Rhinolophus ferrumequinum: one gene and its partners. The protein of the gene in region 1 binds, or shares a complex with, the protein of each later gene. Links are inferred from orthologs where the notes say so. Each region holds a gene or a part of one and is shown in the gene's direction. Other genes may lie near its edges.

Region 1 (7,491 bases):
CACAAAAGAACAAAGACTGTGCCATCCCACTGTTGAATTATCTGTTTCTCTGTTTAACTCTGTCCATCTTTGCTTCACGTATTTGGAAGCTGTTATGAAACTCCTAACAACTTAGGACTTTTGTCTTCTTGATAAGATAACTGTTTTTCATGATGCTGTGTCCTCTTTTATCTTGACAGTACTCTGTGGTGGTCTACCTTATCTGGTGTCAATATCGTCTCTCCAGGCTTGGTAGGCATACTATTTGTATGATTTACATTTTTTAAAGTGCCTCTCTTGAAAATAGTACATGGCAGACTCTTGCTTTTCTTTCCTTTTGATGGAAGTGCTTAACATTTAATGATTAATTTGGTGGGATTTAGGTCTATCATCTCTGTTTTAGGTTTGTTCCTTCTCAAATATACTTTTTTGCTCCCTTTTGGATTATCTGAATTTTTTAGCCATCGATTTTTGTTTGTTGATTTTTAGCTATACCTCTGTGGTTTTTTGTTTTTTTTTTTTCTTTTTTGGTGGTTGCTTTAGGGATGACAATACATCTGAGCTATGAAGTAAGCTCGTCTCTGAGCTACACTAGTGAAATCCACCCACGATGGCTGTATGTAGCTAGCCATTTTTCAGAGTCAGCCTAGAGACTGGTGTGATTGAGTCATTCCAGAGTTTGCAGACAGCCAGCCCCCATCCTGGAGCTCTGGGTCAATTTTGGAGAGGCAGCTGGCCTGGCTCTGACTCGAATTTAGGAGCGTGTATCGAACTGGTGGTGTCCTGCTGTTTGAGAGGCTTTGTGGACAGAGGGGCCGGTCAGCCCAGGGTGGCAACCTCGAAAGAGCAGCTCTGACGTCTGTCGCTTTAAGGTCCGAGCCCTGGGTTTCTGCCCCACTTGGGCTGTTGACTTGACCTTCCCAAGCCTCAGTTCCCGCCTCTGCAATTCAGGCTTGGCTTAGCACGGGAAAGTCTCAGTGCGTCAGTGTGCTTATCATGGGTGGTCACCCCAGCAGGTTTGAGCATCGTCACTTTCTTGGCAAGGCAGGACAGGGAGGGGACTGTCCTGATCAGTGGACTCCACTGCAGACCCATCGAGTCACAGGCTGGTGTCTCGTACTCCAGCCTCTCCCGCCCACTTCCTGGGGCACAGGAGCTGGTAAGGCTGAAGAGGGCCTCGTGATTTATCGGATAGGTCTTTTCTCCATAGTGGACAAACTAGTCATCTGGTACATTGGGTTGAATAGTGTCCCCCCAAATTCATATCCAATGAGAACCTCAATGTTATTTGGAAATAGGGTCTTTGTACATGTCATTTTGGATGTACGGTGGGTCCTAAATCCAATAACTGGAGTCCTCTTGAGAGGACAGACACACAGAGAGAAGCTACGTGACTAGGATAAATGTCGGTTAAGTCCCCATTGTGATAATGCTCTGAAGACCCTAAGAAACGAACGTGTCGCTGCTCACAGATCAGTTAGGTGTTCATGAGCTTGTCCCTGGCTGTGGGTCCACGCTTAAACACATCCCACTGAGCCTGCAGCACTGCCGGCAGGGGTGGGGAAGTCAGCCAGGTCGATAGGACTCTGGGGCACTGGCCTGCGTCACTGGCCATCTAGATAACTGCATGTCTTTTTTTCAAAAATGTTGTTTCATTATGTAGTATTTCAGACAGACAACCAAAGCATGGGAAAGGTAACAAACATTGCACATCTTTCACACAGCCACAGCGAAGTTGAACTTACTGAGTCTTTGTTGTTTATTCTTGTCTTTCAGCGAGTGTGTCTGATGCTTTCTGTATTTTATTGAAAAGACAACAGACTGCTGAGTAAGAAGCCCACACAGCTGCCTGTTTGCCCAGGGCCTGGCACATCTGCAGTGTGGCAGGTGGCAAGGACGTCCTCTTTTGGGTTCTGCCGTTCTCACAGCAAACATTTTTCTGCGTTTAAGCGTGGTGTTTATATTTACTCCTTTCTTTCCTGTTTTTCTTTTTATGCTATGTGGGATTTTACTTTCAAGCTATGGAAGTCAAAACTGCTTGTGGAAGCAAGTGCAACCACAGAGATATTCAAAGAAAATGGCCCACGTCCCCAGGGTGACCAAGGTTGGCAGTGTGTCCCCCACCAGCTTTGAGGGAGGGGAGGAGCCAAGTGGCTTCTGTACTCCTCTTGTTCACTCTCAAAGTGGGCAGTGCTCTGGAGGGCACCAGTACAGCTGCTAACTCTAACTGGTCTGCAGCTCCTACCTTTTCCTGGGGATGCAGAAGGCCCACCCCCCCAGGGAAGTTGGGATGGCAGGGGGCAGGGCACAGACTCTTAACCTCCCACACTTCCTGCTGGACTGGAGGGTGCCCCAGAGGACTGTGGGGGTGATGTCAGCACAATGCAGGAAGAGGCCTGGTGCAGAGGGGAGGGGCTGTGGAGGGCATCCAAGGACGCCGAGCCCAGCTTTTGGAGGCCCGGGGAGCACACCGGGTTGGAGGGGTTCTGGTGGGCCTTCAGGGAACTCAGGAGTTCACCACGCTGTGGGCAAACAGGAGCAGCCTGAGATGGCACCCGTGACCTTTCTCTACTGAGGATTTGCGTCATGTAGCAGGGGCGGGCTTAAGAATGGGTCCCCTCCCCCACAGCCACAGGCCTTGGAGAGGCCTCTGAAGCTGTGTTTCACTTCCTAGAGGCATCCAGCGTTCTGCCTGCTAGCACCCCTGATTTCCATCTGAGTGTTTTGATTTCTATCTGAGTGTAGACTATGGTAGACCCTCTGCGTTTCCTACGACACATGTTGCACCGAGGGCCGAGGTTGGTTTGCTGACGTTTTTGTCTGGTCCACTTTAAAATGTTCTAACTAGTTGTCAACATTTAAAGAGGACAAGCGGTTACACACAATTCCACATTTCTGCTCTTGTTTAAGAACTAGACTACCAGCCCAGGCTGGGTCAAGGTACGCAGGCACCCAGTTCTCCACCCCAGGGCGCCCCTGAACCCTGGTAGTTCCTTTCCTTTCCTGTCCTCTGGGTGCTAAAATTCCACTTATCCTTGGAGGATTTACCTGACACTGTCCCCCGGGGAAGCACTTTTCCTGGACTCCAGTCCCTACTGCTCTTTGGGAAGCTGGGGAGGGTGACCCAGAAATCAGCCCAAGGGTTTGAAAAGCTGCGTGGAGCCCGCACAACAGCCCAGCTGGATGGGCCTTTTGTTAGCGTGGCTGGAGAGGACGTTTACTGCCAACTGTTTCCCTTATTGTGCTGAGGTCTGTGTTACCGGGGCCACAATCCCTTCGGCAGGAGCCTGCTCCTTTGATCTCCCATTTTGCCAGTGAGGCCTGAGAACACTTCTCTCTGGGCTTCCCCCAAAAAAGGAGAAGAAATACCACTAAAAATGTCCCAGAACACCATCTTTTGGTGAAACACAAAGAACCAAACCAAAACAACAACAACAACAAAAAACAAACGCAGAGAGAATTTTCTCTGAAATAGTTTATAGAGGCGCTTGTAAACATGATTTGAGATGACTTACAGGAAACGAGGAACAGAAAGGGCCCTCCAGATCGGACTGCTCCCTATCCAGCTACCGGTCCCCGCAGGCGCGGTTGGCTCACCTAATAATTTATAAAAGACACTCGTGTCTGGGAACCGTGAGGCCGGATGAAATGACAGTCACTCCGGAGAGGCCTCAGGCTGACTCAGCCGGGGACCGGCCTGGGTCGGGGCGCACGGGTCCTCCGGCCCGCGCCCCGCAAGCTCTGCAGTGGTCCCCGCGCCCGGCCGGCCGCCGCACGCTTCCTGCGCGAGCGCCTAGTAGAGGACCCAGCGCGTTCGCCCCGCCCCGCCCGGAGCAATGGCGCCGACGCCGGGGCGCCTTCCCACCCTGGACCCCTGCCCCCGCCCTCCACGAGCGCACGGTCACCGCGGGCGGCGGCTCGGAGGGGCTCCCGGTCCCCGGAGCACGGCGTCCCCGCGCCCTCGCCCGCTGGGCGCCCAGTCAGCTCCCGTCGGCTCCGGCCGCAGCCATTTTGGAGGCAGCGGAGACAAAGAGCGAGACCCCATCGCCGTCCCCAGCAGGCCTCGGCCGCGATCCTAGCCCGCCGCGGCCTCCCGCGGTCGACCCCGGGCCCGCCCGGCAGCCCGCACCCCCACAGCCCGCAGAACCCCGGCGCCCACCGCCCGGCCGCTGTGCCCGGACGCCCGCCCGCGCCCCGGCCTCTGCCGCTCGCAGCCATTGGCCGCGCCTTTTAAGCGCGCGCCGCGACCAATGGCGAGGCGCCCGGCTACCGGGCGGGGGGGCACCGCGGCCAATGGCGAAGCGCCGGGCGGCGGGCGGGGGCGGGCGCGCCGCCGCGCCTGCGTAATGCGCCGCCGCCGCCCTCCCCCCGCGCCGGCCGCCCGCGCCCCCCGCCCGGCCGCCGCCCCCGCCCCGCCCGGCGCGCGCCGCCCCCCGCCCGCCCCCGCCGGCCGCCAGCCCGCCCGCCCGCCCGCCCGCGCGGAGCCGCCTCCCCGCCCAGCGCCGGCCGAGCGGCGGCGGCGGCGGGCCGAGGAGGAAAGATGGCGGCGGGCTCGGATCTGCTGGACGAGGTCTTCTTCAACAGCGAGGTGGACGAGAAAGTGGTGAGCGACCTGGTGGGCTCGCTCGAGTCGCAGCTGGCGGCCAGCGCGGCCCAGCACCACCACCTCGCGCCCCGCGCACCCGCCGGCGCGCTCGGGAACCACGCCGGAGCCGGAGCGGCCGAGGGCGCGCCCGCCGCGGCGCCGGAGCCGCCCCCCGCAGGTAGAGCGCGGCGCGGCCTGAGCGTGGCCGGAAGCCGGCCGGGCCCGCGTCCTCACCGCGCCGCCCCGCTTGTCCCCGCAGGGCCGGCCGCCAAGCTGAGCGCTCTCGAGGCCAGCGCGCCGCCGGGGCCCGGAGCCGGGGCCTGCTCGGGACCGGGGGCCGCGCCCGCGCCCGCCGTCAAGCCCGCCGCCCGCAACGGCCCGCCCGGCGGCCCCGGCGCCGCGCAAACTTTGAATGGGAGCGCCGCGCCGGGGAACTCGCCGCGCGCCGCCGCACCTGCCGCCAGCCTGCTGCTCAACGGGCCCGCCGCCCGCACGCCGCCCCGCCTCGGCGCGCCCGCCGCGCCCGCGCCCCCTGCCCCCTCACCCCCCGCGCCCCCCGCGCCCGCTGCGCCCGCTGCCGCCCCGCCGCCGCCGCCGCCCGCCGTCGCCAGCCTGGCCCGGCCGCCCGGTGCCCCGGCGGGCCCCCCGGCGGCCGCGCAGAACGGGGGCAGCGCCGCACCCGCCCCGGCCCCGGCCCCCGCGCCCGCTCCCGCCCCGGCCCCAGCGCCCGCTCCCGCCCCGGCGCCCGCCGCCAACAGTCAGCCCGGGCCCGCCGCGCCGCCCGCGCAGGTGGCCAAGGCCGACTCGCCCAAGACCGCGGCGCCGCCGGCGCCCCCGCCGCCGCAGACCCTGGCGGCCAGCTGCCCGGCCGGCGCGGGGCCTGGCATGATCCTCGGGCCAACTATGCAAGGGGCGCTGCCCGCCGCCGCCGCCGCCGCCGCCGCCGGCACCCCCACCGGGCTGCCCAAGGGCTCGGCCAGCGCTGTCGCCCAGAGCCTGCCCCGCACGCCCTCGGTCACCACCAGCGGGATCCGGGCCACGCTGACGCCCACCGTCTTGGCCCCTCGTCTGCCACAGCCGCCCCAGAACCCGACCAACATCCAGAACTTTCAGCTGCCCCCAGGTGAGTGAGCGACGCGCGAGTCTGCTGTCCCAGCTGGGAGTCCAGGAAGTTGTAGGGTCTGGCACGGGCCTGTGGGAGCCGAGCTGTAGCCGTGCCCAGGGGCAGGATGTCACCCGGGGTGAGAATGTGTTCTTGCACGTCCCGGTGTCCTGTGGCAGCTGGGGTCTCTTACCTGGTGCAGAGGTTGGTTTCAGTTTATGTCCTTGCCTTGCAAAGTTTCTGGGCCGGTGCTCACAGTTCTCCTCCCGTCCTCCGTGCAGTGCAGTGGCAGCAGGCGCTGCCGGGACACCTTGCTGGGTTATACAGGATGGAGAGACATGGCCTGGGTCCATGGTCTTCCCACGCTTGGCACTTCCCCTCTTGTGTCAGGGATCAGACATATGGTCTGTGTCCTCACTGAGCTTCCCTGCTCCTTTAGTTTCGGGGCTGTGATGGTGTTCCCGGTGGGTCGTGCAGAGTGACGTCCCCTCCTTGAGGCTGGGCAGGTCTGCATGGAAAGCTGCTGCTTCCCTCCTAACACCAGGATGACAGGCACCCCAGGTGAGCCCTGGAGGACTCCTGGGCACACAGCCTTCCTGGGATTTCAGCCCTTCCCATCCCACAGTGGGGTTCAGCTCCGTGTGATCACTTAGAGGACGCCTGGTTCCTCTGATCATGACCGTCCAGTGACACCAGCGGCGGGCACATGCTGTCCAGTCAGCGGGTCTCCTGGAGGGTCAGATGGTGCCGGACCTCACGGAGCCCAGCGCGCTCAGTGAGTCCACTCAGTTTCCTGTCATCTTGGCGCTTCTTTGCGTGTGACAGTGCAAGATCCCCCAAGCGTTCTGTGTCGCCGCTTGGTTCTGGGATTCCCAGGCAGAGGGAAACTCGAGCACTTGCTGTGCCATTTTCTCTCTTCTGTCCCCTGCACTCGTCAGCGTGGAGTGAGTGCTGAGCTTCTGGAGAGCTCCTCCCTGGCTGTGTAGTAACATGTGCTGCTGGAGCAGCTGCTGTGGTGGCAGAAGTAGTAGAAACAGCACCTCCGTGTCTCCTCGTGCTTGCTGGAAAGAGCATGGGTCACCCTGAAAAGGAATTTCAGCGTGTTAAGAAGGCAGGGTTTCCCTGTCCAAGTCAGTGAGCTTGGGCAGTGGTGCAGAGCGTGGCGGGGACCTGTTTCTGTACGGGCACTGGTAGAGAAAGGGTGCAGCCCCAACCAGGGGCTACTGGGGCACCCGTGCTTGAGGAGGAAGAGGTGGTGTGAGATGCCGCTCATGACATGTTGTGTTTGTTTCTGAGTTTGTCAGGGTGTTTCATTGACGGTTCTCTTTTGTTCGTTGATGTGCCTCCTGACCTGTAAGTGGAGAATGTATAGGCTGATCTTTAGTTACATTTAAAACAGGAAATTCGTGCTTATAGTTCATTATGTAAAACGTAGGATACTTTTGACCTGTCCACGGCCATGTCCTTTCGGTGGTCCTGTTGGCTTTAGATTTGTCTTTCTCTTACCAGGATGGTCCCCACATTCCGCTTTTGTTATTTAAAAGTGGGCGAGTTTGTCAGTGAAGTTTGTGAGGCAGGTGCTTGGCCAGGTGTGCAGGGGTGGTGAAGAGGCCGCTGGTGCTGCATGAGGCCTGCAGGTGTGGTGGTTTGGGGTTCACTGGATCCCCTTCCTCTGAGCCTCAGTATAGGTGCAGCCCCTGCCGTTTTTCTTCTGGGGGAGGAAGCTGTGGTTCAAAAAGGGTGTCCTGTCTTTGTCATGGGTGACCGTGGACTCACTTTCATCTCTGTTCAAATGTCAGTATTAAGGATGTGTTCACGTGAGAAG
Region 2 (7,294 bases), on another chromosome or scaffold:
CATCATATGAATAATTGATACAGGCCAAGAATCATCAATGGATGTTAAAACTGGTGAGCTAAAGTTTGAGAGGTAATAGGATATTTACATAGTTTCAAACTATCTGGCATTCACCACTTTAAGCAAATTATCAAAGTTTACATTGATAGCAATGGGAGTAATCCACAGCCACATGCTTCCTGATACGACGCACTGAGAACTCAGCATCACTTCTGTACTATTCCTGCCAAAGATGAGACAGATTGAACCTGAATCAATCCATGAGGAAACATGAGACAAATTCAAATTGAAGAACATTCTCTATAAATTAACTGGCCTGTACTCTTCAAAAATATATGTTATAAAATACAAAAAAAAGAGGGGTGGGGAAACATTAAAAAAATACAAAAAAGGGAGGATTCAAATTAGACTATTGAGATACGACAACTGCATGCAATGAATAATCTTGGATTTTTCTTTGCTATAAAGGATATTGTTGAGACAGAAAAATCTGAGTAAGGTCTGTAGACAATTATTGAGACAAGAGTATTGTATCAATGTTTATTTATTGATTTAGGTAATTGTCCTTTGGTTATGTAAGAAAATGTCATTTTGAGAAAATGCATACTGAAGTATTTAGTGGTAAAGGGACATCATGCCTGTAAATAACTACTCTTAGTAATGCAGAAAAAACACGTGCATATACATTTTTTTCTGAACTACTAAGAGTAAGTTGAGTTGAACTAAGTCTGAACTCTATATCTGTATCTACATAGAGATCTCTATATCAGTGTATCTATCTATTTATCTATCTATCTATCTACAGAGAGGCAGAGACGGAGAGCCAGAGAAGGATAAAGCATATGTAGTAAATGTATCGTTTGGGGAATGTGGATGATGGGTATCTGGGAATTCTTTGTACTTTCTTGCAACTTTCTTGTAAATCTGAAATTGTCGATTAAAAATTTTTTTTAAATAAATTAAACCTGGAAAGAATAATAAAAATGAAGTAGAGGAGGAAGTAGTGGCAATAGAAGAGTCGAGGAGTGGCCAGAGGTAGAAGGAAAACAAGGAAAAGTTTGGGTCCCAAGATTCAGGAGAAAAGGTAATTTCAAGAACATGTGAGCAAAGTGGTCCCTGGATTAGCCTTTAAATATGGATGTTCCTCAGAATTCTATTCTAGAACTTCTTCATTTCTTGCTCTATGCAATATCTTGGGTAATCTTATTCACTCACATGACTTCAATTACCATCTATATGCTGATTTCCAAATCAATGTCTCTGGCCCCGATTTTTCTCCTTAAAATGCTTAGAAGCATTTTAACCCATAAAATGCTTCTGCCTATGGCCAGCAAAACTTGCATGACCTCTAGGGACCTCAAATTCAACATGTCAAAAACCAAATTCATAGTTTTCTTCCCTAACCAGGTTATTCTCAGTCATCCTTTCAGTCACCGTCGCCAAATACCGAGAAATTATTCTCACAATAAACTCTGCCCTTGTCTCCCAAATTTAAATATGAAGTCCTGTGTCTCCAAAACCTATATATTTTATGCATTTATTCACATGTCCTCCTCCAACTATACTTCGTTAATAATAATTACTCTAGTCTCGGGATTTCCAACTGCAGGTCAATTTAAAATTAATTAAACTAAAATCAAGCTACCAGTGTGAGTTTAAATTCAGAAACTAAACAACATGGTAAACTCTCACTGGTGGCTGGTTCCTCCATCACACCCAACCCGAGAGATGACACAGAAATTAATAGATTGGTAAAAACTTTGAAAACCCTGAGGGCGGGGAGAGGGGTGGTGTGTGTGTGTGTGTGTGTGTGTGTGTGTGCGTGCGTGTGCGCGCTGGCAAACAGGTAATGATGAAGCCCAGATAGTGATACCACAGGCTTTCCCCCTTTTGGGGCATCCCTCACCTTCTCCCTCTGGGTAAATGTATCAGCCAAGGTACATGATACCTCCAGGGAAATACAAATTAATGAAGAAAAGTAATGAGATATAGAAAAAAGTGCAACTCCCATTAAAGTAAGAAAAACTGAACAACCTAAAGTAAATGTAACAGGTTAAATGCATCAGATGGAAAGTTAATTTAAACAATACATATCCTCAAAGGAAAAAAAATGAGTTCATATTGTATACATCAGGGTTTTTCACCCTTAGCATTATTGACATTTTGAGACAGAAAATTCTTTGTTGTGGTGGGGCTGGGGCTGTCTTGTGCATTGTGGGAAGTTTAGCAGCACCCCTAGCTTCTACCCTCTAGATGCCAGTAGCACAACCCTGAGTTGTGACAACCAAAAGTGTATCCAGACATTGCCAAATGTCCCCCCAGGATATGTGGGGGGACAAAATCACCCAACTGGGTTACTTGAAGCAATAAATCATGAACTAGTTTAACATACTATGAAAAATATAATGTTTGAAGTAAATAACTCAATAAATGGGTTGAGTAGTAGTATGGATGTAGGCCAAGAATCAATTACTGCGCTGAAAAATCAGGTTGAGGAACTCTTCTAGGAGGGATCTGGGAAAGGTAAACATGAAAATACTGAAGTTAACAGACCTAGAGTATATAACTATAGTATCTACATCCTAAGAATCCAAGAAGAAGGGGAAAATGGAGGGAGGAAATATTTGTAGATATAATGCTTACTAAATGCCTAGCACTGAAAAAAAAAATCTCAGATTGAAGGGGTACATAAGAGGCAAATCAGGATAGACAGAAAAAAAGTCTAATCTTGGATCCATTAGTGTGAAATGAAAGAACATCAAAGAGAAACACCCAGAAAAAGCAGCTCTCCTATGAAGTAACGAGATACAGATCGACACTGGACCTCTTAAAGCATCCCAAAAAGAAAGTAGGAGGAGAATGGGAAAGATCATAAAAGAAGGGGAAGAGAGAATCAAAAATTAATAGTGGACCTTATAGGCATTCAATAAATTTACCTCTATTGAGGTGTAACAGGAAAAACCACTGTACTTAGAGTAAATTACCTCTGCTGAAGTCCCAACCCAGATTTTTTGGAAAGAGAAAAAGCCAGTAATAGGTGGCTCCCACAGAGGGAAAGCGAGTGGCTGTACTTTTGTGAGTCCAGTATCAGGGCTTCAGTTGTACAGGTGGATCCAGTTCCCAGGACCTGATTTGAGAGACTAATGTATGCATCAGAATATTAATATACTATTCATAATGGGGTAAAACATCTTTCCAGGGAATAGTAAACAAACCTGGGCTTGTTATTCATGGTATCTCTTATCTATCTACTAAGTGCTCAGTTAATTACCAATTATCAACTACTGAATACTGAATCAGAAAAAAATAATTGAATGATCCTGAGGAAAAGGATGAATTCTTCCCAGGTCATAAGCATGTACCATCAGATTCAGGTTCTGTCAGTGCTAAGTAAATGCTAATCAGTTCTTGCTCATCTTTCCCCAACTCTCACCCATATTTCATCTTACTTTAGCTATCCAATTAGATTAGTTTTATATTTTAGTCATGAGATTACCTTGGATATCATGATTGGACTTTCATAACAAACATTTACAGAACACCTTTTAAGGTTAAGTAAGAACAACCAGTAGCTATTTATTACGTATTAGGTATCGTATGTACATTATATCATTTAATCCGCATACAACTTTTTGAGGTTAAGTACTATTATTATCCCTATTTTAGAAATTGGGCAACTGGGATAGAGTGAGTTAAGTAACTTGCTTCAGGTCATTCAGCTAGTAATCAGGATCAAAGAAAGCTAGTAAGACCTCAAAACTAATAACCTGAATAAGTGCTAGATCTTCCCCATGTCCCAGGCTCACTTTTCTTGTCTTCACCTATCCCACAGAGTTGTGAGATTCAAGTGAGATAAAATATGCAGCAGGGTTTTTATAATCTATGAAGCATACTGCAAAATGGCATATACTATTTTAAAATACACAATTAAAATGCAGAAATTTTACAATTTGTAATAATGGATAACACAGTATGAATACAGAATGTACACATTTCACAATCACAAAATTCAGATATTTAGAAACTTTTTATTGAAATATAGCATATATGCTGTTAAGTTCACAAAGCTTAAGCACGCAGCTCGATTAATTTTTACAAAAGTAAAAATTGGAACAACAAAGAAAGTTACCACCATTTAGATCAAAATACAAAACATTACCAGTATCTCAGAAGCCTCCCTTTGGCAAATGGTATATGCTTTTGAGTTAAAGACCTGGATTCAAATCTTGAAACGTTCACTTTCTTGTTGAGTGACTTGGCAAGTTATTTAACCTCTTTGGGTCTCCGTTGAGCCACCTGTAAAGTGAGGACAACAGTACCTTATAAAATTGTTGAATTAAAAGTCATATAATGTAAAACGTCTATCACAGTGCCTGAATATAGCAGTTGGTTTGCAATAAGTGGTAATTATTTTCAGGCAAATGCAATAGGCGGTCGCCATCTCCAATTTCCTGCTTTCTGTCACTCACTTTTGAAAGTTGCTCTCGCTCGTGTTCTTTTTCTCCTTCTTCTCGCCCCTCCCACTGCCGTAAATCGCCTTCCGGAGCTGTCGTGAAATGCTCATCCCCGCCCTCCATGTGGCGAAAACGCAATCGCACTTGACGGCGCGAGGTGGCTCAGCCGCAAGATGGCGGCGCTGGCGGAGGAGCAGACGGAGGTGGCGGTCAAGTTAGAGCCCGAGGGACCGCCGACGCTGCTACCTCCGCAGGCTGGGGACGGCGCTGGCGAGGGTGGCGGCAGCACGACCAACAACGGCCCCAACAGCGGCGGTGGGAACGTTGCGGCGTCGTCGTCGGCCGGCCGGGATGGTGGGACCCCCAAACCCTCGGTGGCTGTCTCCGCCGTTGCCCCGGCGGGGGCGGCCCCGGTGCCCGCCACTGCTCCGGAGGCGGGCGCTTCCCACGACCGACAGACTCTGCTGGCCGTGCTGCAGTTCCTACGGCAGAGCAACCTCCGCGAGGCCGAAGAAGCTCTGCGCCGGGAGGCCCGGCTGCTGGAGGAGGCAGTGGCGGGCACCGGAGCCCCGGGAGATGGGGACGGCGCCGGCACAGAGGCGGCTAGCGCGCTTCTTAGCCGGGTCACAGCCTCGGCTCCCGGTCCTGCCGCCCCAGACCCTCCGGGAACCGGCGCTTCGGGAGCTGCCGCCGTCTCGGGCTCAGCAACAGGTCCTGTGGCTCCGGGGAAAGGTGAGCCGCGAGGTCCCGGGAAGACAGGGCCGGGACGAAGGGGAGCAAGCCGGGAATGCCGAGGCTGGCAGGCCTGCACCTCTGCGGGCTTGTTTTGAATTTCCTGGGCCCGCCTCTAGGACCACATGCCCGCCCCTTTCTCTAGTGCGCCGGCTGCGCAGTCAAACCCTATTCCTAGAGCTGTCAGTTCCAGCGAGAGGCTGAGAGCTGTTGAGCAGAAGGATGTATGCGGAAGGTGGGCGCGGAGAGGCGCGGACCCTTAGTGTTTCGGTCCCTTTTCGCTTATTTGGGTTCTTGAGCTTTGGACAGGTCTACATTAGCACTAACAATATTTGTACAGTTCTGTACAAATATTTTAGGTTCTATATCTTAATTCTCACAATTCCACTATTTTAGAGATGAGAAAACAGACTGAGAAAGGCCAAAGGACTTGCTTTGGACCACACAGCCACGGAGTGATGGAACGTAGTGTAGCCAGTATGTCTCAGAATGTGGGCTAACTACCACGAGTGTTGACGCTTTGGGGGGAATGCAGATTCCTGGGCATCATTTCAGACTTAGTGAATCAGAGCTTTTAGAAGCTGAGCCTGGGGATCTGCATTTTTGAGTAAATGCTTCCGAGGGGTATTGATGTATGCCCAAGTTTGAGAACCATTTGTTTAGGAATAAGCATTGGACAGACCTGGGTTCAGATTGTGTCTCTGTTGCTTTTACGTGGTTGATGCTGATTAAGTTATTCTTCCAAAATTGAGTTTTTTTCCTCGATTAAATGGGTTATTGTGAGACTTAGATATAATATATGTAAAATGACTGGTATTGAAAAGTTTATGCCTAGGTGTCCATTCCTGACACCTGAGCACCCCCTGATCCCCTTTTCCTAGCAACTGTTGTCACAAAGTCTGTGCATTAAAATTTATACACAATATAAGGTCTCAAAGGTGATCCTGAGCCAATAATGAATGTTTGTTGAATTAAATTATCCAGTACAGAGCCTCTAGCTAATCTGTATTTATGAGACCTAATCTTTGCAGCATTGCCAGAAGTGAAGAATAAATACATAGCGTTGTAACCCATACATAGAAGTGTGTAAAAATGATTGAGAGGAATCTTTCCCTGAATGCTGAATTTTGTGAATGAACTAAAACATGGGTGAAGTATATATGTTAGTCATTTTGTTATAATCTGTTCAGAAACCTGACCTATATTTTAGATCATATCTGAGAAACCAGTAAGGATGGAAAGAAAATGCCATCAGAGTAATCGAAAGAATTTATATCATTTGTGCAGTAAGGAACATAACAGTACTTTAATTGCAACTTAAAAATTCCAACAATAAAACCCTGATTCGATTGATACATATAGCATTGTAATATTGCTATATTACAAATAAATACTCGTATTTTCTGACTTGAAATGGTGGTTCTGGAAATTGTTTTAAGCATATCTTTTGGAAATATAAATAAGGCACAAACTTCCCACCCTTAAAATGCTTACATTTTATAAGGAATGAGAGATGTACATAAATGAAGGTGATATAGGATAGGAGGTTACAGTAAAGTTACAAAGTACTTAGGTAGCTCAGAGAACTGGAAATGTTGTTTCAGGGCATGGCTTGATGGTGGTGGTGGGTGCCGTTTGCATTGACCCTTGAGAGGAGATGGACATAGTTGTTTGATTTGCTCATCCATGTTTTGTACAATTTGTCTTTAAAATAAGGTAGCTCCAGAAAAAAATAAATGAATCTCTTGTTATTGATTTGAAAATTTTATTTTAAGATATGGACAAGATGAAGGAGTTTTGGATGGGTCACTGAAACAAAGTGAAAATGCTATTAAAAGATTATGTGATTGTGTTGGGGAAGAAAGTTTGAGAGGAGAGGGACAAACATTTGAGAAACAATTCACCTGTGGACCTTAGCAAAACAGCCGTAGTCACTTGGTGCATCTCAGGTCATTTTCTTGAAAGTTGTTTTTCATTTTTTAAACAGTTGGGAGTGTAGCTGTGGAAGACCAGCCAGATGTCAGTGCTGTGCTGTCAGCTTACAACCAACAAGGAGACCCCACAATGTATGAAGAATACTATAGTGGACTGAAACACTTCATTGAATG
Region 3 (7,262 bases), on another chromosome or scaffold:
GTTACTCCATATCCTTGCCAACATTTATTTATTTATTTATTTGATAGTAGCCATCCTAGTGGGTGTGAGGTAGTATTTCACTGTTGTTTTGATTTGCATTTCCCCAGTGATTCATGATGCTGAGGAGCATCTTTTCATGTGCTCATTGGCCATTTGGATATTTTTGGAATTACATATATACTATCCTATTCCCCCAAATAATTAGTTCTTTCATGGATACTATTGGTTGCCTTTATAGACTGAATATTTATTTGTGTCTCCCCAGAATTCATATGTTGAAACCTAATTCCCAAAGTGCTGGTATTTGGAAGTAAAGTTTTTGGGGAGTTGATTAGGTCATGAGGGTTGAGTCCTCATGAATAGCATTAATGCCCTTGTAAAAGAGGCTGCTGGGAGCTCCCTCACCCCTTCCACTATGTAAGGTTACAGTGAAAAGACTGTTGTCTATGAACATGGAAGCCTGCCCTTACCAGACAACAAATCTGCTAGTGCCTTTATCTTGGACATCTCAGACTACAGAATTGAGAAATAAATTCTGTTGTTTACAAGCCACCCAGTTTATGGTATTCTGTAACAGCAGCCCAAATGGACTATGACAGTTACCCATGCCCTTTCCTTTCTTCTAACACTTCCTTTTTAGTTTAGGGGCCCACCCTCTGGGTACCTAAGGCAGAGCTGAATCTATTCATAGCTGTAACATGTTCTCAGAGATCTAAACCAATAATGGTAATCTCCTTCCACTTGTCAATGTTTAGTTGGGAATATAGGCTTAAAATAATAAGCTTAAGGCAGGGTTTCTCAACCTTGATACTACTTTGAGCAGATAACTCTTTGTGTGGGTGGGGAGAATAGGTGTTCTGTGTAATTGTAGGATATTTAGCAACATCCCTTGCCTCCATCCACTACATGCCAGAAGACCCCACCCCCACAGTTCTAACAATAAAAAATGTCACCAGACATTACCAATATCACCCCTTTGCCACAATTTTGAAAATAAAAATGGTAACTATTATGGATCCAGGGATAGGTATGTGACCTAAGTTAGTCCAATCAGATCAAAAGACAGATTTTGGTTTGGGGGAACCACTCTCTGAACTTACCATGGACAAGGATGGAAGTTCCCCAGCTATGCTGGCAGGTTTCTTGTCACCACAGATTTTGGAAGTTTACAAGGAGATGAGGACAAAACTGAAAAATAATAGAAAAAGTATAAATAAATGCTCATTCTCTAAAATTAGGAAGAAAAAAACAATTTGTGCCAGGCCATGATTCTATCATACCTAGAAGCAGCCATACTTCTAGAACTGCACTGTCCAATACAGTAACCACCAGCCACATGCAGCCACTGAGCACTTGAAATGTGGCTAGTCCAAACTGAGATGTGCTGTGTGTGCAAAATACACACCAGATTTGAAGATTAGTACAAAATAAGAATGTAAAATATATCATTAATAATTTCTACCTTGATATGTTGAAATGTTATTTTTGATGATTAAGTTAAATAAAATGGTATTGAAATTAATTTCACTTGCATCTTTTTGCCATTTTAATGTGGCTACTAATATACCATATATGGCTTTCATCTGAGGTTCATATTATATTTCTATTGGACAGAGCTACACTAGACTACCTGGTTTTTGAGATACTAGATTTTTCTTCTTATTTAAACCAATGTAAATTATGATGGTGTCTTTTCTATGGAAAGTATCATACTTGATGCTATATTTTAACTATATTAACTAGATTTTAGTTAACCTGCTTTTAACTGTTTATACACCAATATAGCAGTATGTAAGAGTACTTTTGGGGGGCATATGCTATTTCTTCTCCCTTATAATTTTCTATCTCCAAAATATAAGCAGGGCTTTTCCCACCACCAATAATTTTACAGCATTATCCTGGTTTTGATACTCCTTTATCATAGGCAGGAAGCGTTTGGAGGTCATTACCATGTGGGGAATTTATTGCTCTCCCCAAATCTTTAGTTCACTAGTATCACAGATATTCCAAGGAACAACCACAGAAGTGTAATTCTGTCATCAATTCAGAGTGTTTATGTATGTCTATTGATTTTAAAAAGAGAACAACTGGATTATCAACAGACATTAAGGTAATTGTAATGTGACAGAGACCTTAGCTTTAGGATCACTGTAATTTTCCCTCATACAAATCCCGCATTTAGAAAATGTGTTAAACTCCAAAGCAGAAAATATATTTCAGGATAAGGAGGTACATACTTTAGGGGAAACTTTAATCCTTTTAATTATCTCTGACCATCTTCCATTTAAAGGTTTACTAAATAAAATACATCATATTTTGGCAAATCAGAATTGCATCTGTTATCTCAGGTTACTTTCTGTGACAGGATATTTGAGCATCATAAAACTATAGGCAATTAAAGTGCAAAGCAACATTTGGATTATTTTCATGTATAAGCATAGAATCACATTTTATATAGTCAAATAAAGCACTATGCAGAAGCTAGCATGTTAAACTCTTCTATCTATAAAATAAGTAAAATCAGGTATAATTAAGGGACCATCAGTATAATTAAGCACAATAAAGAATTTCACCTTTGAAAAGGGGGAAATAGATCATCCTGGAAATTATAGATGATATATCAGCCAACTTTCTTCAACACATTTTGGAACAAAGAGAACTAATGTAGTTATCTGAAAAAGCATAATTTCAACTTCAAACTTAACATTAAAAAAACTGGTGCCAGGCCATTTTAATTTTAATTTCCTCCCAAGATACACAGTCTAATTAAACCAAAGAGGACACACTATTAGCAAAGCTCTCTGCTCATAACAATTGGCACCGTCCTTGACGAGAGGAAATGTATATGAAGTGGCTTTATCTCATTTTAAGGTGACATAGAATGTATTTTATCTCACAGATTATTATAGACTATATTTATGCTCCTTTTAGATGGATCAATTGGTTCATTCAATTAGCAAATATTTTTTTGTATATCCCCCATGTTTTGATACTAGGCACCGGGACATGATGAACAAGATAGAAGACTCCTGATGATCAGAGAGCTTCCAGTCTGAGGGAGTGAGGGAGACAATACATAAAGAAATGAAGTGAACTTTTAGAAATGTTAATCACATTTTAATAAGAGTTCTCTTAAATTTAGATGCAGTTGGTAATAGAGGATAGAAATTAAAATTTTAATGACCTTGATGCTCTACCAGGACGATTCCATTAAAAAATAAATGGAAATGAGCAGGAATCAGTGGAAGCTGTTATATATATTAACACCGGTAGTTAGGCTTAAATACTATAGATACGTGCTGATAAATATCTGCCTACATAAATAGAGGAGACAAGCACAAAACAGTTATCAAAATAGCAGAGTGGAATGAAAACAATTCCTAACTAATTTAAAATTTACAAGCGAGTGGCAGGGAGTAATACTTCAATTATATTCTACCGCAATCAGACCATTTGTCTATTAGACGACTCTGTCCTAAATGAACATATGCCTCTTGAAGAACACTTACTTCTCTGTTTACATTTATATCTACGTCAAACATACTATTAAAACGAGGAATCACCCTTATTCCCTTGGGGTCCTTCACAACAGAAACTGACCCTGAGGCATGAGTCCACTCCAAGCATTTTCATAACCAACAAAATATAGACTTAGAATTATATAGTGGGCAGCATGTCCTCCTCACTCCACTGATTTGGATACTTTCAAATCCACTGCATGGTTAGTTATAAATTCTTGTATTCACTCGAAATTGGATATACCCTGGGGAGCATCGGAGGTGTTTCCTGAAGCAAAGACTCTTTCCGCACAGACGCCCTATACCCGACGATCACCGGGAAGCCTAGGAGCTATCCGGCCCCAGGGCGATCCGGTAAAAGTTCTGGCTTAGCGGCGGGGCGGGGAGGTGGGTGCGGGAAAATCTAGGTCTTTCTTGGAACCGGTGTCTCTAAATATTTTCAAAGCAATAGCTCTTTAAGGAAAATTATTCCCATCGCCTAAAACCAAGTTCTCGCGAGCAGACGGACACCTGATATCGCAATTGCGCGTTGCGCCTGCGCGTGCTGGGGCAGACCGCATTTCCGCTCGAGTCGTGCTGTCACTCACAGCCGTCTCCCGCCCCGCGCCGTGACGTACTACTTCCTTCTCCGCTAGGTCTGCTTCCCCTGACGGTCCCGGGAGCTGAGGAGCTGTAGGCGGAGCTGCCGAGTTGCGGAGCTGCCGAGTTGCTGAGTTGCGGAGTCTGGCGCTCAGAGCTACGGATCTCGGTGAGATTTCGCGCTGCCCGTTCTGGGTCATTTCATTGATAATCAGCAGCGGATCGCTTGCCAAGAGCCGGGAGAAACAAAGGAGTCAGGAAGGAGACTTTAGGCCCCCGGCCGCCATTCTCCCAGTGGCTTTCTCTTTCGCTCGCTCCTGTCCGGAGAACCTCGGTTTATAATTGTTACTGGACTGTAAGTATCCGAGGCGAAGAGAGCTCACTGCACCCCGCTTTTTGACTATCTTTGTTCGGGGAGAGTTTGTGAATTGGGAGTGTCTTCTGGGCCTTTACTTTCTGTGCCGAAAATCATTCCGCAGAAGCCGCCATTTGCTTTTCTGCTTGCTTGCTCTGTATTGTCCGGCAGCGCCATCTAGTGGTTGGAACTTGGCATTGCAGCTAATTTATTCAAAAGGACTTAACTGAATAATCCAGTGCCAGTAACAACTGGTATTCAGTCACAGCATATTTAAAAAGACTTGGTGCTTAATTAAAAAAAAACCAGTAGACTCTAAGCTGCTGTTCTTCTTAGAACTCTTTGTAATTGAATTTTTCAATTCATAACAAACTGGTCTTTCTAACTTGATATAGTTGGAACGTTTTAGTGCGACAAGTGTTCATTTGAGAAGTGAGTCACAAAGAAACATGAGTAAGAGCAAAGATGATGCTCCTCACGAATTAGAGAGCCAGTTTATCTTACGTCTGCCTCCGGAATATGCATCTACTGTGAGGCGGGCAGTACAGTCTGGCCATGTCAACCTGAAGGACAGACTGACAATTGAGTTACACCCTGATGGGCGTCATGGAATCGTCAGAGTGGACCGGGTCCCACTGGCCTCAAAATTGGTAGATCTGCCATGTGTTATGGAAAGTTTGAAAACCATTGATAAAAAAACCTTTTACAAGACAGCTGATATTTGTCAGATGCTTGTATCCACAGTTGATGGTGATCTCTATCCTCCAGTGGAGGAACCAGTTGCTGCTGCTGATCCCAAAGCAAGCAAAAAAAAAGATAAGGACAAAGAGAAAAAGTTTATATGGAACCATGGAATCACTCTACCTCTAAAAAATGTCAGGAAGAGAAGGTTCCGGAAGACAGCAAAGAAGAAGTATATTGAATCTCCAGATGTGGAAAAAGAAGTGAAGCGGTTGCTTAGTACAGATGCCGAAGCTGTCAGTACTCGTTGGGAAATAATTGCTGAGGATGAAACAAAAGAAACAGAAAATCAAGGCCTTGATATCTCTTCGCCAGGAATGTCAGGCCATAGGCAGGGCCATGACTCATTAGAACATGATGAGCTTCGGGAGATATTCAATGACCTCAGCAGCAGCAGTGAAGATGAAGATGAGACGCAGCATCAAGATGAAGAAGATATAAACATAATTGACACTGAGGAAGATCTGGAAAGACAGCTACGGGACAAGCTAAGTGCTTCAGATGAACAGCACCAAGAAAATGAGGGAACCAATCAGCTGGTTATGGGAATTCAGAAACAGATTGATAACATGAAAGGCAAGCTCCAAGAGACCCAGGACAGGGCAAAACGACAGGAAGATCTCATAATGAAAGTGGAAAACCTGGCTCTCAAGAACAGATTTCAGGCTGTGCTGGATGAACTCAAACAAAAGGAAGACCGAGAAAAGGAGCAGCTTAGCTCTCTGCAAGAAGAGCTAGAATCACTCCTAGAGAAGTGAAAAGAGCTTTGATACTTAAATTCATTCCTTAAAGTGGTCAGCATTAGAAGAAAAATTTTGGTTTCATTACTTGGACTAGATGATAGAACTATATGGTAATTTCTGTTTTTTTCTGCTGCCTTTTATTGAATTTGTCTTAAACGACTAGAAATGTGAATTTCTATCTCATTTGTCTCTCAGAACCACTTTGTTAGGTGTTTATCATGTAGGAAGTAGGAATGTATAGAAAGATACATAATTGTAGGAAAGTTGTAGGATTAGTGGAATGAACAGTTCAAACTTTGTAATCAAAACTTCACTGCAGGACTTTGCTGCTGTTTCTCCATTTGCCAGCAACTGGTTTTGCTAGTTTGTGATGCCATCTAAGATCACTAAGAAGAGTAGTCTAAAGGCAGTTAAGTTAGTTCGCATAATGTTTTCCCATGCAGTAGTTATTTTCCTAGTTATTCAATTTTATACATGTAGAGTTGTAAATCATTTCATAAAATTGTTTTAACACAATAAATAGAAACTAGTTTTCACCTCATAATGAGTCTTGCTGTTTTAGGGATTGTGGGCATCAGATCCTCTTGTGAGGTGGTTTCTTGGTACAGTTTAATTACTGAACAATTTGACCTGTTTGGTAGGGAAAAAAGCAGTTATGTTGGGTTTTAAGAAAAAGATGAATACAGCAAGAGCAAACAAATTGTGAAATAGCTGCATTATGTTAAGTTTCTAATCCACCTGCTGTGTTTGGAGGGTTAATAAACACTAGGTACAGAACCTTCCTAAACAACCCTAACTTTTGTACATGAAGGTCTTATTTAATGTTTTGTGTTTTTTTTTTAAAGCACTGTACTCACCTGCTTGAAATAACTAGAAACAAAACAGAGCAAAGCTTTCAGGTACTTTTCAAAGAATCATTCCATTGGTTTGGATTAAGATTATATTTTTAAATATTTTCAACTTAATTACTGTAATTATTTAGTACTCTGAGAACTGAGATGATTTGTCCGTGTCAGTTCATCAAAATTGTTTATAAAGGTCAGTATTATAATTTCTTATTTCAATATTTCTTAAACATAATTTTCATATTTACATACTCTAAAGATTCTAATATAATGCCTTACTTGAGCTATTTTGGAAGAATCAGTGATAAAATTTACAAAATGCAGAGTTTGGTGCAATTCATTTCTGAGATTGGTTTATAAAGAAAATCTTTGGTTTGAAAATTAACCTCATGGAGCAAACATTTAAAGCCCATTTTAATTAGGTATTTGACAAGAAACATGAGTGGTGAAATGTTAAATTTTCCAGACCTCTCAAGTGTAG
Region 4 (7,797 bases), on another chromosome or scaffold:
CCCAGAGCACCTTATGGTATTAACACATCTAAGCCTCATAATAACTTTATGAGGTTAGTAACTATTATTATCCCCATCTCACAGATGAGGAAATGGATATATGGAGCAGTCAAGTAACTTGTCTCAAAGTAATAGCTGATAGGTAGCACAGCTAGGACTTCAAACTCAACTCATTTGATCTCAGAGCCTGCATGTTTAACCAAAGAGTATGGACATTATTTGGTGAACAAGCAGATGGTCAAGACTGCATTGTGGAAATTCTGAAAGCCATTTAAACAATGACTACCTCCCTAAGCCCCAAACGGAATAGCATTGCAGAGGTCTATACCCTGGGGTGAAGGGGATGCAGGGTGAGGGTGAGACTGTACAGTTTCTGCCTAAATTTGGGGTCTGGTTGGTACTCTCCCATCATTCCTAAAGCCCACCACCCAGCCTCCTGTGTTTTTCTTTTCTGATAGTCCCACCCCTGCCGTTCCTTGCAAATTATTCTCACAGAACTCAGCTCTACGTCTCTCTCTGCTGACCTCATTTTTATGTGAACAAATACCCTTTGTCATTAATCTTTAAAAACTCATTCCATTTTTTTTCTATAATGAAAACCTGGCTTTTCCTAGCAGTTTGCTAGGTGACACAAATTCACAGCCTTCTTCATTCAGTAATTATTTATTCAAAGTCCACTTCCCTTGATCCTACCGCCCTCTGAGGCTAGGTTCCTCTCTTTGCTTTTCTATCTTTCACTATCCGACTATACACTCATTCCTTCACCTCTTATAATCTGGCTTCCATCTTCACCATTGCCCTCAAACTATTTTGTCCAGATTATTCTCCCACCTCCTAATTGTCAAATCCAAGGCCTTTTCTTAAGTCTCTTAATTTCTGTGGTACTGAGCACACCTGACCACTTGCTTCTTTTTGAAATTTTTTCTGTTTTGGCTTTCAAAACATATTCTTCTCCTCTTCCTCTTCTCTCTCTTCTCTCTGTCTTTTTTCTTTTATCTTTTGCTATCTTTCGAGCCATTCCTTCTGTCTTTTCTTTCTCTTGATGTACCTTTTCTAAGGCTCTGCCCTTTGCCTCCCTTCTCTCCTTCCTGTGTCTTTAAACTATCACCTTGGTGTTTATGTCTCCAATCCCATTTTCTCTAGTCCTAATGTCTGTGGATTTCCAGGCCTGCACTTCCATCTGTCTTTAGAACATCTGTAGACTCTCAAACTCAGACTGAACTCATTTTTTTCCTTTCCGAATTGCTTTCCCCTTTTACTTTCCAGTTTATATTAATAGCATCATATTAATCTGGATGGGAATGTCTCTCTCCATAGCGCTCCAATTCATTCAGACACAAAGTCCTGTAAATTCTTCTAAAGTTCCTTCTTCTTCTTAATTCAGGTTCTAATTGTCTCTCATCCTAGGAACTCTCCCTGCTAAAGTGATCTTTTTAAAAAAGATAGGGACATGTCACTCTTCTGCTTAAAGATCGCCCCCAAACCCTGGCAGTTTGAAGTGCAGTCTCTGAAGAGAACATATAAGGCCTTTTACACTCTTAACTCTAGCTTCATTCCACCCTCATTTCCTGCACCCCACCCAACAATCTGGGCTCTGGCAATCTACCTAAAACATCTCCTAGAAGCATACCATGACTTTTCACTTTCTGTGCTTCATTTCTGCTTTGCTCATAACACTGCAATTTTTTTCCCTTTATGTTTTGGATCTCTGGTTCCAAAGGTTGAATTAGTCACACTCCTCAGTTCGTGACATATTATCGTAATGAGCTCTTTTCCAAGTCCTTCATTTGTTATTTATCTATGCATTCCCTTTATACCTATTCCCATTTCTCTTATGTCGCAACATTTCTAATGTAGTTAATGTCTATGCATTTTTGTATATTCCTATAAAATATGTATTTTTTGTGTCTATGTATATTTAATTTACATAAATGGTACTGTCTTACAGATTTTACTGTGTCTCTACTTTTTAAGTTTGGTACTATGTTTCTAAGCTCTGTCCATGTCGCTAGTCGATTGCTTCTGATTGCTGCATAGTACTCGTTGGTGTGCCTCCAGTACATTTTATCGAGCCACTCCCCTGATAATGGACACCGTGAATGTGTTATACCTGATCTCCTGGACAAGGTGAGCATTTCCTTCTGTTAGAACTACCTAACACAGCAGTTCTCAACCCTAGTTTACTCAATAGTCTACTTTAAATAACAAATATAATGTCTCCTTTTTAATTCTGAAATGAAATTCACAGATGACATAACCTTCTGCCGTAGGTAGCCTCTCAGATAACCTCCAATGATGTCTGCCTCCTGGTGTTCTCATCCTGTGTAGTCCCCTCTCCTTGAGAGTGGGCTGCATTTACTGACTTCTGGTGAATAGAAGTGAAGGGATGTGACTTGCAAGGTTAGGTCACAAACAAAACAAAACAAAACAAAACAAAACAAAACAAAACAGTGGCTTCTGTCTTGGGTGTTCTTCCTGGTTCTCTCTCTCATCTGCTCTGAGAGAAGCCAGCTGCCATGTTGTAAGCTGCCCTGTGGAGAGAACCATGTGGCAAGTAACTGAGGGAGGCCTTTGGCAATAGCTAGTAAAGAACTGAGGCCCTTGGTCTAACAACCTGAAGGAGCTGAATCCTGTTGACAACCATGTGAGTAATTTTGGAAGTGGATCCTTCCCCATCGACACTTCAGATGAGACTTGTAGCCCCAGCAAACACCCTGACTGCAACGTAAGGGACCTTTAGCCAGAGGCACCCAGATGAACTGCACCCAGAATCCTGGTCCACAGAAATGGAGTGATAAATGTTTATTGTCTTTGCCAGTAAGTTTTGGGATGATTTGTTACACAGCAGTAAATAATGAATACACCTAACTACCCATATAATTTAAAAATAATATGTACTATCCTAACAATTATAAAGGTAAAATAAAGATAGTAAGCTATAATAATATGTTTCAATATGTAAATGCCTAGGAATGACTATACTAGAGGGTATAATGATTTTAGATGCTTGCACCTATGTATAGAATCATCATGAATGCAGGAGCTACAAATGCAGACTGATTCCAGTGAGTACTGGCTACTCAAATTACTACAAGTGATGTGGCCTTTGGTGATATTATTTCCTGAAATGGTTCATAGCTCTTGATAAGTTCCAAACAAAACAAAGTATAATCTGCCCCATTTCAGTGTAGTTGCTGTTTGGGGAAAAATTCCAAGTTCTTTCCTTCCTGTATGCCTTTCTCCGTTCATACAGAATATTTTACTTCTGATTCTTTTGTTTACCAAGTATGTTTTTCTTTTCCCCTACACCAAGCAATTCTGTAACACCAGCTAGGTGTCCTACAATTTAACTCAATTCTGACACTATCTACCTGGAGATAGCGTCAGACCCACAGGTTAGGGTCTCAGTCCCATGAGACTGCCTCTCTCGCCCACTGAACTGCCAATCGTCACACTAGATCCCACTAGGTCCCCAGAATACCCACAACATCTGTCTGATTTGGCTGCAAATCGAAGATTCCAATGAGCTCCTCCTCTTGTATTTGATTCTTTGCTAGAACAGCTCACAGAACTCAGGAAAACACTTATGTTTACCAGTTTATTAAAGGATATGATAAAGGATACAGATGAACAGCCAGATGAAGAGATACATACATAAGGCGAAATATGCAAGGGTCCTGAGTGAAGAGCTTCTGTCCCTATGGAGTTGGGATATGGCACTCTCCCTGTATGAGGATGTGTTCCCCCACCTGGTGGCTCTCTGAATCTCCTACTATTGGGATTTATGTATCATGTAGGCATGATCAATTAACTCCATTTCTAGCCCTCTCCCCTCTCTGAAGAATGGGCCGGTGGGGCTGAAAATTCCAAGTTTCTAATCATGGCTTTGTCTTTCCGGTGACCAACCCCCCTCCAGGAGCCATCCCAGAGCCCACCCAGAGTCAGGGCTGCTATCGCTTAGGAATTTACAAGGGTTTTAGGAACCCTGTGTCAGGCATGAGGTCAAAGGCCAGACACCAGTATAGAACAGATGCTCCTAGAGCTTTTATCACTTAGGAAATTACACGGGTTTTAGGAGCTCTGTGCCAGGAATCAGGGTCAGGGATGTGTATGTATAAATGGACATATGTAAACAAAGTTAGGTCAGATAACTATAAACAGTTTTCACTCACATGAATGTTCAGCACAACATTCAGAAATAGTGTATTGTGGGGCGGTTTTTCCTTACGTGGCATCACCTCTTGCGCTGAGAACATCTTACGTCCTTAGTTTTAGCCCTTCTAATGCCTGCGGTTTTCCCAGTCATCCTTTTGACCAAAAAACTCCCCACAAAAATGTAAGTCCCCAATCTAAGGGGTAGAATCGCCGGCTTGAGAACTAGTAGGAAGAACAATATCCCGCAAAACCAATACAGTGTTTGGCAATAACAGTGGAACTCGAAATTGTTGAAACCGTTTAAATACACGCCTGGGGTAGCCCCAGACCGCCGGCTAGCCCCACAATGATCCACGACTTGGCAGTACCGAATCAGGAAACAGTGATTCGCTGTGCAGAAGCAAATTTAGGGTGACAGCGAGACACACGCCTCCTAACCCATGATTTTGCTTTGCTTTGCTAATGTTGAAGTCCGTCTTCGGTACGACAGAGCCAAGACCTCTTCCCCCTCTCCCAGAACAGCGCCCAGGTCGGCCCCTAGGCGGGACGCTCCGCCCCTCTCCGGCGAGTCCGTCCTGGTTAGGCCCCGCCCCGCCCCGCGCGTCACCGGAAGTGAGGCGGCGGAAGTAGTAAAACCCGCCCGGGGCGAGGCGGGTCGGGTTCTGTAGGCTGGCTGGTGGGATGGCAGATGAGGAAGAGGACCCCACTGTGAGTGACCACCTCTGTTCCAACCCGCTCTTTTCTTCACTCTCTCGGGTACAGTAGCGGAGGCCGAGTTCGGAATCGGGTCTATTTTCCTTAGTGAATTCAGCCGAGAGAGTCGGGGACTTAACGCGACGCTAGCCTTTCTCTTCCATTTTTCTCGGAGCGAGCAGGACTTGAAGGAAGAGTAAGAAGGTGGCCCCTTGCCCTTTGCTTTTGGTCCATATATGCCAGACACCTTCATAACGCCGAGGGAATTATTAGAGGTCAAAGCTAATGTTAGCGCTCATTATGAACCAACAGTTCAATTGCTAACAAAACTATATACTTGTAAAGTATGGACCGAAAGTCAGGGAGCCTGCATTTCAAAATCTTTATTCTGCGTGAGCTAGTTATTTAACTTTGCGGCTCGGTTTTCTTGTCACAAAATGGGGTTAAGGCTTACTTAAAGTAAGTGCCTAGCACTGTATAAGCAGCGCTTAGTAAATACTAGTTTTGCTTGCTTTGATTCGGTATCAACTCTTCTAATAGTAAACTGTCTAGCAATAGGCTAACTTGGTCTTTTTTAAAAAGTACGGTCACTGGAACTCTTCCAGGAAAGGCAGTAGAATGACTTGTTGGGGACATTTTAGAAGCCATTCCTGCATGAATCGGAGGTTGGACTAATACAGTCTTTAGGGCCTTAATTTGTTGCTTTAGGCTTTCTGGCATGGTATCAATGTTGAAATAGGAAAAAAAAATTAATAAATTAAAAAATCAAATGCAATGCAATTACTTGACATTTCTATATATACATTTTAACTTCTAGTTTGAGGAAGAAAATGAAGAAATTGGAGGAGGTGCAGAAGGTGGACAGGGAAAAAGAAAGAGACTTTTTTCTAAAGAATGTAAGTATATACACAGCGATTTTATTATAGATGATAAAATAAATGTTTTGGACATGTGCATTCAAAAATTTATTGTTCTCAATGTGTTTTCCCTATAGGGTCATTATTCTTGGATTTGCCTATACAATTCTGTTTAACTTGTGAATCAGAGCTAGTAATGATCCTAACCCCAAGTTTTATATATGTATGTATAATTATATACACACACATTTTTTTAAAGTGAGGAAATGTGATCAGTGTTTCAATGCAGGGCCTAAGAACATACTTGTACTTTTCCTGTCCTATACTTTTCTAGCAGTAGGAGCAGGGACTTCTTTGGCTGTAAGCCAAGGGTTAGGATGGATCCTTGAACAGGTACGGAGGGTAGGACTTAAGTTGGAGCTTCCGACTATGGCAGTGGACAAGGCAGGAAGGTGGTGAACAGTGTGAGGCATTACAGGGGCATAGAGAGTATAGTGTATTGGTCATCTGTTCTATTCCCTTAATAGACAGGTTTAACTCTTTTTGTCAGCAAGAGGGAATACTACTGCTACTACTGATGGCCCAGGCCACCCTGAGAGGCACCTGAAAATCTCCCAATCCTGGGTCCCTTACATGTAGTTATGGCTGAGTATTGACAGATGGGGCAACACAGGATGGGGCAACTGGTTTATTTATGCTGGGTCAGATGTAAGCAGTTCCTAAAGGTTCTTGAAGCTGCAAAATCAGTATGTTTTTTTATTTTGTAATCACTCAGATTCTTCTTCATATCTCATTTCCTTACCTTATTCCATCTCTGATGCCATTTACTCCATTTGTACGTGGTTTTACTTATGTCAGCATATGAAGGGGGTTTCTATACCAGAGTACCCCAAAGTCGGTTCTTAGCAGAAATCTCTGTTCTACTTGGATTGCTTTATTTTTGTGATGACAAGAATTTGGAATCTTCACAGCCTTCTCCTTGTCTTACTTCAATCTTGATATATATTGCTGACCAAGAGCTGTTCTCCTAAAACTTAAAAAAATTATTTTTGCTAATATAACAAAGTTGCAAAGCATTCACTGGTATTTGTTTATGTCTTCACAGACCCTATAACCAAATACAGTGTACATATTTACTATGTAATATACATTTTCCTTTTCCAGTGAAATATATTTCCCCATTAGTGAATTCTACCCATCAAAATATTAATGACAGTCTCTTCCTCAAAATATTTAAGGAAAAATAATAAGTATACAGGGGAGAATCCTGGTAGACATTACTTCAGTCAAATCATTAAAGTTAACATCACCAGTGACATATATTGACATCATGCACCCCTGATGTGATGCATTAAGAGGTCACATCACCTCTTTGGTACCTTTCCTAGTAATGTATAACCACAATATAATCATGAGAAAACATCAGACAAACCCACATCGAGAGACGTTCTATAAGATAACTGACCAGTATTCTTCAGAAGTGTCAAGGTCATAAAAGATGAGTGTGACAAACTGTCACAAATCAGAGGAAACTAAGGAGACATGACAATTAAATAGTGTAGGATCCTGGAACAAAAAAAGGACATTAGTGGAAAAACTGGTGCAATCTGAGTAAGTTCTGTACTTGTACCAATGTCAATTTCTTAGTTTTGATAAATGTTGATGGTTTTATAAGATGTTAACATAAGGGGAAACTGGATATAGGGTATTTGGGAACTGCTATTTTTGTAAGTCATCTATAAGACTGAAATTATCTTAAAAAGGGGAGGCGGGGGGCAAGAAAGTTTTCAGAATCCAAAGGAATGAGAGAGAGAATATTGGCTCCTGTCTTTTGTGTTCTCCCTCCTTATCTGGACCTAAAGGTTCTTGCCAGTGTAAACCCTAGGGATACCTCTATCCCAGGCTGGCTTCCAAGTCACCCCTTTATTTTCTTCCCTAGGCCTGATCTACTTTCTTCTCTTTTTAGTTCTACCAGCTTTTGCTTCTCCTAAATAGGAATTATTCTTTTTTTTTTTTTTTCACGTCAGACGGGTAATGTGCCGTTGTCGTAACAAGGTTTGTAGGAGGCACATCTCACACAAAAGCGTGAACA

The links.
Region 2: TAF4 (region 1) and TAF5 share a complex: the UniProt entries of both Homo sapiens proteins name them as parts of the TFIID basal transcription factor complex. The link is inferred for Rhinolophus ferrumequinum from reciprocal best matches to the Homo sapiens genes TAF4 and TAF5.
Region 3: TAF4 (region 1) and TAF7 share a complex: the UniProt entries of both Homo sapiens proteins name them as parts of the TFIID basal transcription factor complex. The link is inferred for Rhinolophus ferrumequinum from reciprocal best matches to the Homo sapiens genes TAF4 and TAF7.
Region 4: TAF4 (region 1) and TAF13 share a complex: the UniProt entries of both Homo sapiens proteins name them as parts of the TFIID basal transcription factor complex. The link is inferred for Rhinolophus ferrumequinum from reciprocal best matches to the Homo sapiens genes TAF4 and TAF13.

Annotation. Positions count from the first base shown.
Region 1 is NC_046306.1:1,376,313-1,383,803, forward strand, and holds the start of TAF4 (transcription initiation factor TFIID subunit 4), read left to right. Parts: upstream 1-4,474; 5' UTR 4,475-4,519; coding exon 4,520-5,687; intron 5,688-7,491. UniProt on the Homo sapiens protein: The TFIID basal transcription factor complex plays a major role in the initiation of RNA polymerase II (Pol II)-dependent transcription.
Region 2 is NC_046299.1:21,905,916-21,913,209, reverse strand, and holds the start of TAF5 (transcription initiation factor TFIID subunit 5), read left to right. Parts: upstream 1-4,289; 5' UTR 4,290-4,627; coding exon 4,628-5,186; intron 5,187-7,173; coding exon 7,174-7,294. UniProt on the Homo sapiens protein: The TFIID basal transcription factor complex plays a major role in the initiation of RNA polymerase II (Pol II)-dependent transcription.
Region 3 is NC_046307.1:15,636,520-15,643,781, reverse strand, and holds TAF7 (transcription initiation factor TFIID subunit 7), read left to right. Parts: upstream 1-4,259; 5' UTR 4,260-4,901; coding exon 4,902-5,951; 3' UTR 5,952-6,831; downstream 6,832-7,262. UniProt on the Homo sapiens protein: The TFIID basal transcription factor complex plays a major role in the initiation of RNA polymerase II (Pol II)-dependent transcription.
Region 4 is NC_046305.1:41,352,108-41,359,904, reverse strand, and holds the start of TAF13 (transcription initiation factor TFIID subunit 13), read left to right. Parts: upstream 1-4,790; 5' UTR 4,791-4,836; coding exon 4,837-4,911; intron 4,912-5,665; coding exon 5,666-5,744; intron 5,745-7,726; exon of another isoform or gene 7,727-7,797. UniProt on the Homo sapiens protein: The TFIID basal transcription factor complex plays a major role in the initiation of RNA polymerase II (Pol II)-dependent transcription.